Linked DNA regions of Macaca mulatta. The main gene of each other region encodes a partner of the protein of the gene in region 2 in a complex. Links are inferred from orthologs where the notes say so. Each region holds a gene or a part of one and is shown on either strand. Other genes may lie near its edges.

What was found.
Region 1: the proteins of ELANE (region 2) and SLPI are in contact, whole or in part, in a crystal structure (PDB 2Z7F), measured with the Homo sapiens proteins. The link is inferred for Macaca mulatta from reciprocal best matches to the Homo sapiens genes ELANE and SLPI. Residues at the interface, in NP_001963.1 of Homo sapiens: His53, Phe54, Cys55, His70, Cys71, Asn74, Val75, Pro111, Val112, Asn113, Leu114, Leu158, Ile165, Leu180, Arg182, Val197, Cys198, Phe199, Gly200, Asp201, Ser202, Ala216, Ser217, Phe218, Val219, Arg220, Gly221; in NP_003055.1 of Homo sapiens: Tyr93, Gly94, Gln95, Cys96, Leu97, Met98, Leu99, Pro102, Phe104, Met121, Cys122.

Annotation. Positions count from the first base shown.
Region 1 is NC_133415.1:98,091,725-98,097,132, forward strand, and holds SLPI (antileukoproteinase precursor), read right to left. Parts: upstream 3,233-5,408; 5' UTR 3,211-3,232; coding exon 3,126-3,210; intron 2,404-3,125; coding exon 2,245-2,403; intron 1,825-2,244; coding exon 1,675-1,824; intron 1,097-1,674; coding exon 1,092-1,096; 3' UTR 915-1,091; downstream 1-914.
Region 2 is NC_133424.1:1,506,078-1,511,707, reverse strand, and holds the start of ELANE (neutrophil elastase), read right to left. Parts: upstream 3,661-5,630; 5' UTR 3,346-3,660; exon of another isoform or gene 2,960-3,345; intron 2,662-2,959; 5' UTR 2,295-2,661; coding exon 2,228-2,294; intron 1,734-2,227; coding exon 1,577-1,733; intron 1,411-1,576; coding exon 1,266-1,410; intron 1-1,265. UniProt on the Homo sapiens protein: Serine protease that modifies the functions of natural killer cells, monocytes and granulocytes. Inhibits C5a-dependent neutrophil enzyme release and chemotaxis. Promotes cleavage of GSDMB, thereby inhibiting pyroptosis. Promotes blood coagulation.

The sequences.
Region 1 (5,408 bases), on a different chromosome or scaffold from region 2:
AATTTCGTGAGGACATAACTATCTCTCACTTTTGTAATGTTTTATTAGTCACACAAACTAACTGTGGAAAAATGCAGGAGGGGGCTACACAAAGGTGTGAATACCAACAGGTGAGATCACTGGGGGCCAACGTGAAGGGTGACTGCCACACTCATCAAATAAATAAAATGGTTCTCCCTCTTTTTCCTCTTCATTGAATTGTTAATTTAATATATTCCCTTGCTGCTCTTAGAGCATTGTTTGAAAGTAGTAAGGAAGAATTTTTAGTTTGCTGACTTTTTCCAGGAAAGGATTGAATTACAATATTTTTTAAAACCTTATCTAATCAAGTTGTCTCTTTCCTCTGGAGTCCGCAGAGCAGAGCAATGTGGAGCAAGGCCCTTTGCCTGCTCCTTAGCTCTTAGCAGTCCCAGTTCCTGTTACTCCTGCTCCGTGGAGTCAAGGACACCACCACCCTTGCATGGTATGGCCAATAGTGTGCCATAAATGCTACCCATTATGGTAACGTTCTCATCATAAAATAGAAGAAATAGTGTCGTGGGAGAGAGAGGAAATTAAAGAGACTCAAAATCACTCCAGTAGGCCACAAGTAGCCCCTATTTTTTGAGAACTTGCTGTGGCCTAGTAACATTGCTATTTATTACACACACAATGCTTCCTCCAATGTTCCAAATGCTGTGAGAAGTTGACTTTTATTGCCACTTCACAGACAAAAGAATTGAAATTTAGGAGATAAAAATCACTTGTCCAAAATCACAGAGCCAGTACTTATAGACTCATGATATAAATTCAAGTCCCCCCAGTCCCTAAGCCTCTTCCTCCCACTATATATCCATAGGAGGAAGGCCTCATAGCTAGATCTTCCCTCATAGCCTCCCACCCCACTCATAACCCCAATGAATCACAGAAGCAGGGTACAAAGAGAAATAGGCTCATTTATTTATTCATTGATCAACTGGCACTTCCTGAAATCCTGCTGTGTGCCAAGCCTTTCCCCAAAGGAGGATATCGGTGGTGGAGCCAAGTCTGGGGGTGGAAAGGACCTGGACCACACAGAGCAGGACTCCAGAGCCTCCTCCAAATCACAGGAATCAAGCTGTGAGAGAAAATCAGATAAGAGCTTCAGCATAGAAATCAGCCAAATCATATTCACATCCTTCCTTCTGCCCAAGGATCCTCCTGAGATAAAGAAAATAGCAAGATAGTGCTATAGTTGAGAGAGACTTAGTGTCAGGAGACAAGTCTCATTTTCACCGTAAAACTCTAAATTGAAAGCATTGAATTAGATAATCCTCAAACTCCACGGATCGTTTGGGATTTAACCTCAGAAAACATGACGGAAACAACCTGAATAATAAATTCTTAGTGCACATAGTGCTTTGCAGAGCACTTTCAATCTCATTATGTCCATTTTACCGATAAAGAAACTGAGACTCAGAAAGTCACTTGCCCAGGACCCCCACCCAGAGACACTAGAATAGAATCAAAGCCACAGGTGATCCTATGGAAATCCTGGCCCTGAGACCTAGAGAACAGTTCTCTTGAAGGACAAGGGAGTCAGACAGAGGCTCTGCTTGGAATAGGGGTCAAGAGTCCCCCTGCCCATATGCCTGGGCCTCCAGAGGGTTGAGGCTGAGATGGAGGGAGCTCAGTGTGCCCTCGGCCCCTGCTTACCTTTCACAGGGGAAACGCAGGATTTCCCACACATGCCCATGCAGCACTTCAAGTCACGCTCGCACTGGCCATCCATCTCACAGTAATTGGGGGGTTTAAGCATCATACATTGGCCATAAGCTGGTGGACAACGCCCAGGCTTCCTCCTCGCTGGGTGAGAGTGAGGCTACCAGTCAGAGGCCTTGTACTTTACACAACCCCTCCTATCTCCACTTTTTAGAGTGAGCCCCTGCTGCAACCTGAGCAGGTCGGATCATCCCCCCCGATCTCTATCACCACCACTTTCTCCGTAAGTCACCCCCCAAACATAGCACCTGGCTGTCCTAGAACATCAGGCCCCCGTTGATGCAGGGGGCCAGTCGTCCAGTGCTGACTAGGTGGGAGGCTTCCAACTACCTGACTATCTAAATGCCCGCTGCTTCACCACCTGCTGGCTACCTTCCTCCTTAGGGCATGTGACTCATTGACTGATTGACAAGGAGGCCTGGCAGGACCCATCACCCAGTGCCATCCCCCTAATGCTGTGTCCTCAGGCTCACTCCTCTCTACCCAGTTCCCCGATCTGCTTACTTGGGCTTGGGGTGTCAACAGGATCCAGGCATTTGATGCCACAAATGTCAGGACAACATCTCTTCTTCCCTAGACACTGCCAGTCACTCTGGCACTGAGGTTTCTCATATCTAAGGCACTGGGCAGATTTCTTAGGAGGACAGACTCCGGCTTTGAAGGCTTTTGAAGAGAAAGTCAAGAGGTCAGGAGTAGGCTGGGCACTGAGAAGTCATCATGCCTGCTGAACAAAGCACCACTTTTGAGGGGGAGAGACCCTTACCTCAGGAGCTATCCACAAAGCCCAAAGGGTCATGCCTGCCTGATCTCCGGGTGGATTGATGGGCTTGATTAAATTGGACAAATGGACAGGGGATGTTTCAGACCCAAGAAAAGGGCAGCAGGCTTCTAGTCAAGACCTCCCACCCCAGAGCAAAACAGGGCTACACAAAGGCAGAGAGGAAGGCTGGGAGTGATGGAGATGGAGACAGATAAACAAAGATAAATAGAACCAGTGTGAGAGAAGTTGAGAGCTAAAGCCCAAGGCAGAAACACAGAGACAAAATAGCAGAAGCGAAGACACAAAGAAGAAGCAGAGTCAGAAACTAATGATTTGAGAGTCGCAGACAGGTGAAGAAGGCAGAGGATAAGAGAGAGAGAGACAGAGAGAGAGAGAGAGTGGGATCTGGGCCGACAGCATGGCTGCATAGAAAAAGCATTTCCAGAAGCTCAGAAACCCTCACAGAAACCTTGGAGCTCAGCCAGACATGTATTCCACTCTCAGGGAGGTCTCCTGAAACTAAGCTGAGAGATCAGAGCCTACAGAAGGGGACACACCCACATCACCAGGAGACCGCACCTCTGACCCTGCAGCCCAGATTAGACCAGAATGACTCCCAACTTACACTTTCCAGAGCCTTCCACAGCCCAAAGTGCCAGGGTTCCCAGGGCAAGAAGCATCATGAAGGGGAAGAGGCCACTGGACTTCATGGTGAAGGCAGGAGTGACTCTGATGGCCAATGCCAAACCTCACTATTTATTCTTTCACCAGTGGGTGTGGCCCAACCAGAATTCTTTTGGCCTCTCCCAGCTACTATTGCATAAGCAGGAAGCTTAGCCAGAGACCAGAAATCCTGGCACCAAGGAGACGGTTTATCTTTCCTATGCCAGGTGAGGCTTTGAGGCCAATACAGTAATTACCAGAAAAGAAAGGGAAGAGGTTGGCCTGAGAGGTTGGCTGATTAAAGAGGCCATCTCAGTGTCCATCTGAGCCCTAAACATCACGAGACCCCAGGCCATTAGCCTTACAGGTGGAGAGGGGAAGAAGTGGTCAATTGCAAAGGTGCTACCTGGACCTGGAACTGAAACCAGATGCAGACCCCCAGCTGAGACTTCGTGCATTACATCCTATTCTCACATTACGAATTCTGATTTTCACATTATTAGACTCTAAGGCATTGTGAAACTCTGCTGAATGCTCAATGCAGTTTCTTTCTCAAAAGTTCAGCTCATTCAACCAACCGATACTTAGTTCCCTGAAATATTTACACCGTTTATCCCCAGTGCCTGTCACAGGAAAAGCATTCACTCAACAAATGAAAGCTGAAGAAGAGCTCTGCTCTCAGCAAATCTCTTCAGAGCTCAGTTTTCTCAGCTGTGAAATGAAATGATACTAACAAGTCAGCCCTTCTCAGAGGGTTATGAAATTAAGGGCATGAAGGGACTCTGAAAAGAATAAATGAATTGTATCCCTTCCCACTAAAGAGAACTGAAATGAATCTGAGATAAAGGGGGAAAGCAGCTCATCAGTCACTGTAATCAACATTTAGCTATGAGATAATTTGAGATCTTAGAGGACTGCTTCCTAAAATTCCCCAAAAACCCTTACAGATCTCACATGACAGCAAAAAATTAAACTCGTTCTATATGCTACCCAATCTGCATAGATTGCTTCTAATTATAAAGAGAGTCATCATTATCTCTAAAATTCAGCCCATAGCTGAGTGTAGGGTCACATACATACAGTCTCAGCTGCTCATGAGGCTGAGGTGTGTGGATTCCTTGAGACTAGGAGTTTGAGACCAGCCCTGGCCAGATATTGAGACCCTATCTCTACAAAAAAATTTTAAAAATTAGCCAGGCATGATGATGTATGCCTGCAGTCCCAGCTACTTGGGAGGCTGAGCCAGGAGTATGGCTTTAGCCCAGGAGTTTGAGGCTGCAGTGAACCATGATTATGCCACTGCATTCCAGCTTAGGGAACAGAGCTATACTCTGTCTTAAAAAAATAAAATAAAATAAAATAAAATTCAACCAAAGCTCATCTGGCTGCAAACTCTAAGCTCTTGACTCACTATCTTCATGCTTAGAATTCTCCCATTCATTCCTAAAGTGAATGTTTGTGGAACTTTTCACAGACATGAAAGACTCACTCATTATCAAGTAGTGACAGCCCCACATGAAGTATTTAAGTATTCCACAACCAGACAGTCAACTGGCAGCAGATCTGTTTATATGAAAGTCACTCCATGGTTTAAATTTTGGTGGATCAGAAGACTTGGACATAATCAATCAATCATCAATCAAATTTTGGTGGAAAAAGAAAAGGACGAAAATTAATATGCATGAGGTAACTACTATGAACCAGGTACATTCAGTCCTAGTTGGTATTTAGTAGGGCAGGTAAGAGAGAAATGGAGGATATGATTTCCGCCAGTGGGTAATGACACTCTCAAGTCAAGATTTTTGTTCTCACCTGCACTACCCAGGGGACAATTTTATTTCTCTCACATAGTTTCTGTTCTCTCTCTCTCTGTTTGTTCCTATTTTCCTCAGTGCCACACTCAAGAAATTGTCTGGAGTTTTCTAAATATTTGTTTCTTAAAGAATGAAAAGGGGCTGGGCATGGTGGCTTATGCCTGTAATCCTAGCACTTTGGGAAATCAAGGTGGGCAGATCACTTGAGGTCAGGAGTTCGAGAGCAGACTGGCCAACATGGTGAAACCCTATCTCCACTAAAAATACAAAAATTAGCCAGGCATGGTGAAAGGGTGAAACGCACCTGTAACCCCAGCTACTCAGGAGGCTGAGGCAGGAGAATCACTTGAACCCTGGAAGTAGAGGTTGCAGTGAGCCAAGATCGCGCCATTGTACTCTAGCCTGGGCAACAGAATGGGACTCCATCTCAA
Region 2 (5,630 bases):
GGCGGAGATTGCAGTGACCCAGATTGAGCCACTGCACTCCAGCCTGGGCGACAGAGCAAGACTGTGTCTCAAAAAATTAAAATAAAAAATTAACCAGATGTTGCCAGGCGTGGTTGCTCACACCAGTAGTCCCAGCACATTGGGAGGCCGAGGTCAGGAGATCAAGACCAGACTGGCCAACATGGTGAAACCCTGTCTCTACTAAAAATACCAAAAATTAGCCCGGCGTGGTGGTGCACGCCTGTAATCTCAGCTACCTGGGAGGCTGAGGCAGGAGAATCGCTTGAACCCAGGAGGTGGAAGCTGCAGTGAGCTAAGATTGTACTGCTGCACTCCAGCCTGGGCAACAGAGCGAGACTCCATCCCCCCCCCAAAAAAATGTGTGTATATATATATATGTGTATCAGCCAGCCGTGGTGGACGTGGTGGACATGTTGGTGGCACCTGTGGTTCCAGCTACCCCCAAGGCCAAGGTGAGAGGATGGCTTGAGCCCAGGAGGTGGAGGCTGTAGTGAGTCTCGATCATGTCACTGAACTGGGTGACAATTATGAGAAAATTGAGTGACATGTCATGAAACTCTCCTCACCCTTCCCAGGGAGTAACTTTTTTTTTTTTTTCCTGAGACCCAGCCTGGAGTGCAATGGCACGATCTCAGCTCACTGCAACCTCCGCCTTCCGAGTTCAAGCCATTCTCCTGCCTCAGCCTCCCGAGCAGCTGGGATTACAGGCGCCTGCCACCATGCCCAGCTACATTTTTTTGTATTTTGGTAGAGACAGGGTTTCACCATGTTGGTCAGGCTGGTCTTGAACACCTGACCTTGTGATCCACCCGCCTCGGCCTCCCAAAGTGCTGGGATGACAGGCGTGAGCCACCGCGCCGGGTCCCCAGGGATTGAATCAGAACTGTAAGCCGGATACACGGGCCCCATTTCCCAAAGACAGAGGCGGCCCCTGCCCTCGGCCACAGGGCTGGTGAAGGGAGCGACACAAAGAATCACCGGAAGTTTGTTGATTGACAGCAAATCCGGGCTTGCCTGCACAATCTCATTTCATCCGTCAACAGCCCATAGCGGGTATTTTCCCGTTTCCCAGAGGTGAAGACTGAAGCACAGAGAGGGGCTCGCCCAGCCCACGGTTCCACCCCAGGTCCCCACAAGCGGCCCCGACGCGCCCCTGCGTCGCCACCTCCACCCTCCCCAGGCCTCTGGCCTCTGCCCCTGCGCCCCCCGCCCCGGGTGTCCCTTCCCCCCGCGCCCCGCGGCACCTGGAGAACCACGATGTCGTTGAGGAAGTTGATGGGGTCGTAGCCGTTTTCGAAGACGCGCTGCACGGCGAACACCTGCCGGGTGCGCTCCTGCTGCTGCAGGTTATGGGCTCCCAGGACCACGCGCACGGAGCGGAAGTTTCTGCTGGGAGGAGAGGCGGTGGCGAGGGGCGCCCTGGGGGTCAGGGGGTCCCCACCCGAGAGGCCTGCGGGGGAAGGTGCCGGAGCCGCCCCGGGGCCCTGGCCTCCCCCGACCGTTCTCAGACCGGGACGCGGGTCCGAGCCGGGCGCACACCCTCATGGCTACTCACACGTTCGCCACGCAGTGCGCGGCCGACATGACGAAGTTGGGCGCAATCAGGGTGGCGCCGCAGAAGTGCCCTCCACGCCGCTGCAGGGACGCCATGAAGGGCCACGCGTGGGGCTGCGCTTGCCGACCGCCCACAATCTCCGAGGCCAGCGCGGGGCCTGGGGACACACCGGGTGTGGGTGCTGAGTGCCTGACAAGGAGCCCGTGCCTTCCCGGCCACGGGGCCCCTGGATACCCCACCAGGAACCCGCGGGACCCACCGGCAGGAACCCACGGGATCCCCCACCAGGAGCCCACGGGATCAGGACCATTCACACCCCTGTTGTTCAGATGAGGGAAACTGAGGCACGGAGAGGCAAAGGGACCTCCCCACGGTGCCCCTCCAAGGCACAGCCAGACCTGGACTCGAACCCAGAGGGCGCCCTGCGAGCCTCCCCCCCACCCCCCCGCCTCGGTTTGCAAACCCCAACTCTGGGATCCTGGTGGTGGCTTCACCACTCAGAACCTCAGTCTCTTCTCCTGGTCCCCTTGTCCCAGATGGCACCTCCCCAGTGAGGATGAGGGACCCACACTGGTGGGGCCCACCATGAAGAAGTGGGAACAGAACCCCAGGGACAGAGGGAGCAGCGGAAGGATGGACACAAGGACTCACCCTCCAGCAGCAAGGCCGGCAGGACACCAGCGAGGAAAAGGCAGGAGAGTTGGCAGCCAAGGGTCATGGTGAGGCTGGTCTCTGGGGTCTCTGCCCCTCCGTGCCCACCCGGCTCCTCTTATAGCCCTGTGCCAGGAGGCCGTTACATTGCCCCACAGCTGGCCGGCGCCCCCCACTTCCTCTCTCCTGGCACAGGGCGTTGATGAAAAGGGGGAGAAAGGGGGCAAGAGGCCGGGGTTGGCTCCGGTGGGGCCGCCAGACAAAATTCAGGATGCACAATCGCGTTTGAATGTCAAATAATCGACGTGGGTCTTTTATTTAGTTTTTTGGAGACAGAGTCTTGATTTGTCGCCCAGGCTGGAGTACGGTGGCACAATCTTGGCCCACTGCAACCTCTGCCTCCCAGGTTCAAGTGATTCTCCTGCCTCAGCCACCTGAGATTACAGGTGAAATCACCACACGCGGCTGATTTTTGTGTTTTTAGTACAGACCGGGTTTCTCTGTGTTGGCCGGGCTGGTCTCGGAGGTTTTTTTTTTTTTAATTTAAGTCTGTCCCGGTAAGTCTTTAATAAATTAAGACTTAAATACTTAAGTCTTAATTTAAGTATAAGGATATACTTACCCGAAATGCCCAGGTTTTACTGAGCATTGCTGTGTTTTTGCCAAACCTGCCAAACCTAGACCTGTGGGGCTTAATGCGGGTGGCCTCACCTGCCTCAGTTTACCCAGGGCCCTGTGATACCGGCCACATGCAGCTGTGTCGCCTGCCTCAGTTTACCCAGGGCCCTGTGATACCGGCCACATGCAGCTGTGTCGCCTGCCTCGGTTTACCCAGGGCCCTGTGATACCAGCCACATGCAGCTGTTTCGGGCACTCACGGTGCAACAGGCACCTCCCTGATCCTTCTCAGGGTTCCTGTTTGGGATGAGGAAACTGAGGCATGTCAAGGGCCTCCCCAGGAGCTGCAAGTTTAACCCAGGTCTCTGGGACCCACAGCTGGACGGAGATCTGGAGCTGGCTCACTCCAGCCTTGCTCCCTGAACCTCAGGGCTCACTCTCAGGGCCGGGCCTTCCATCCCGTCCTTGGCAGTCACCCACAACGGGGAACTCACTCTCACCCAGGCTCACGGTCAGTCCCTGGACAGCAACTGAGGCTCTGACGGTCTCTCCCGCCCTTCTGCCTTGGTGAGCTTCCCCGAAGCCCTCCCCGCCTGAGGCAGGGGACCGGCAGGCAGGGGTGCTGGAGAGAGAATTCCTGCCCAGGCCGGGAGGCTGGAATGAGGATGTTCACCCAAGCCTGAGGGCTTCTGCCTGGAGGAACTGGCAGGGGAGCTGGAGCCCCAGCCACGGGGATGGGATTCCCAGGACCCAGCCCCAGGCTCCGGGTCCCGTTCCTCTTCCCATCCCCCCCACGATGTTCCAGCTGCAACGGCTGGGCCAAGGCTGTTGCAAGAACCAACGTCCTCCTGGCTCCGGGACAAGGGGAGGGGAAGGGAACCAACGGGCCTGACTCCAGGAACAGGCGGGGCGAGGGCACCCGGGGACACACAGAGCCTGGGCCGGGCTGGAGTCCTGACGTGACCAAGGACAAGTGGACTCCCATAGCTCTCAGGTTAGAGGGACAATGGTCCTGCCCTCCCAGAGCCTGGCACACAGCAGGCACTCCATCCACGTCTGTCCTGTCCTCAGCGTAATCAGACACACACTACCCTGCCTCCTCCCCTCCCCTTTTGGCAGGATTCCCACCTTGCTGCCTTAACATCACCGTGGTGCACTTAGTAAGCACCTGCTGTATACACAGCCCTGTTTCAAGTCGGGGATGGGGGCGGCCATATCTTGGGGGGGGGGCGCTTGGCCTCAAGCAGGGAGATCAGACTTGGCGTCAGCTGCATTTATTGAGCACCAGCTGTATACCACATTCGCATGTGCAGTTATTGTTAAGTGTGCTGACGCTGGGTTCATATCCTGGTTCTGGTGTGGCCTTTTGGCCACTGTGTAGCTTCAGGCCCCTGAAATAAACTCCACGACTCAGTTTCCTCCTCTGTAAAATTATAATCATAGGATCCATCACATAAACCTATCACGAGGGTGAAATAAATTAACGTTCGTAAAGTTCTTAGCTAAGAAAGTGTTGTCTGGTCGGGCGCGGTGGCTCACACCTGTAATCCCAGCAGTTTGGGAGGCTGAGGCGGGTGGATCACCTGAGGTCGGGAGTTCGAGACCAGCCTGACCAACATGGAGAAACCCCGTCTCTACTGAAAATACAAAATTAGCCAGGCCTGATGGCGCATGCCTGTAATCCCAGCGACTCGGGAGACTGAGGCAGGAGAATCACTTGAACCCGGGAGTCGGAGGTTGCAGTGAGCCGAGATCGCACCACTGCACTCCAACCTGGGCGACAAGAGCGAAACTCCGTCTCAAAAAAAGAAAAAAGAAAAAAGAAAATGTTGCCTTTGAGAGCTTGTTAACCATTAACTGTGGCAGGGAAGGTAGGGTTGTTATGGTCACAGCGGGTATAGACTCCAAGGGGGACGTGGGGTCTTCCGGGAGGCCAGGAGCGTGCTAAGATTACAGCAACCTGGAGGTGTTCATATGTAAAGAGTCACTGAGGACCCACTTGGGCAACACAGCCAGACTCCGTCTCTACAAAAAAATAAGAAAATAGCTGGGTGTGGTGGCACCTGTGGTCCCAGCTACTTGGGAGGCTAAGGTGGGAGGATCACTCGAGCCCAGGTGGTTGAGGCTGCAGTGAGCCAAGACTGCACCACTGCACTCCAGCCTAGGTGACAGAGTGAGACCCTGTCTCAAAAATAATTAAGTAGGCCGGCTGCAGTGTCTCACGCCTGTAATCCCAGCAGTTTGGGAGGCCGAGGCGGGTGGATCACCTGAGGTCGGGAGTTCGAGACCAGCCTGGCCAACATGGTGAAACCCCGTCTCTACTAAAAATATAAAAATAAGCCAGGTCTGGTGGCGCATGCCTGTAATCCCAGCTACTCAGGAGGCTGAGGCAGGAGAATCGCTTGAACCCGGGAGGTGGAGGTTGCAATGAGCCGAGATCAGGCCACTGCACTCCAGCCTGCGCGACAGAGCAAGACTGTCTCAAAAAAAAAAAAAGGAAAAAAAAGACAAAGGACAGCAAGGAGCTATGTGTGTCCTGAAGCAGGTCGTCCCCTCTCCGTGGTTAATGCCTCCTTCTCGTGGCCACTTGTCCGTCTGAGCTGGACTGTGAGTCCCACCTCTTCCCTGCCTCGGACCGCCCCTCTGGCCACCCCCCAGTTTATTCCTCATGCTTCCACCAGGGGACTCCTCCCCTGCCTACCCATCCTAGGAGAAATAGCGCTCCAACCCCATCACCCCTCCCCTGCACCCACACCCCTCCCCTGCCTGCCCTCCTCCCCATTCC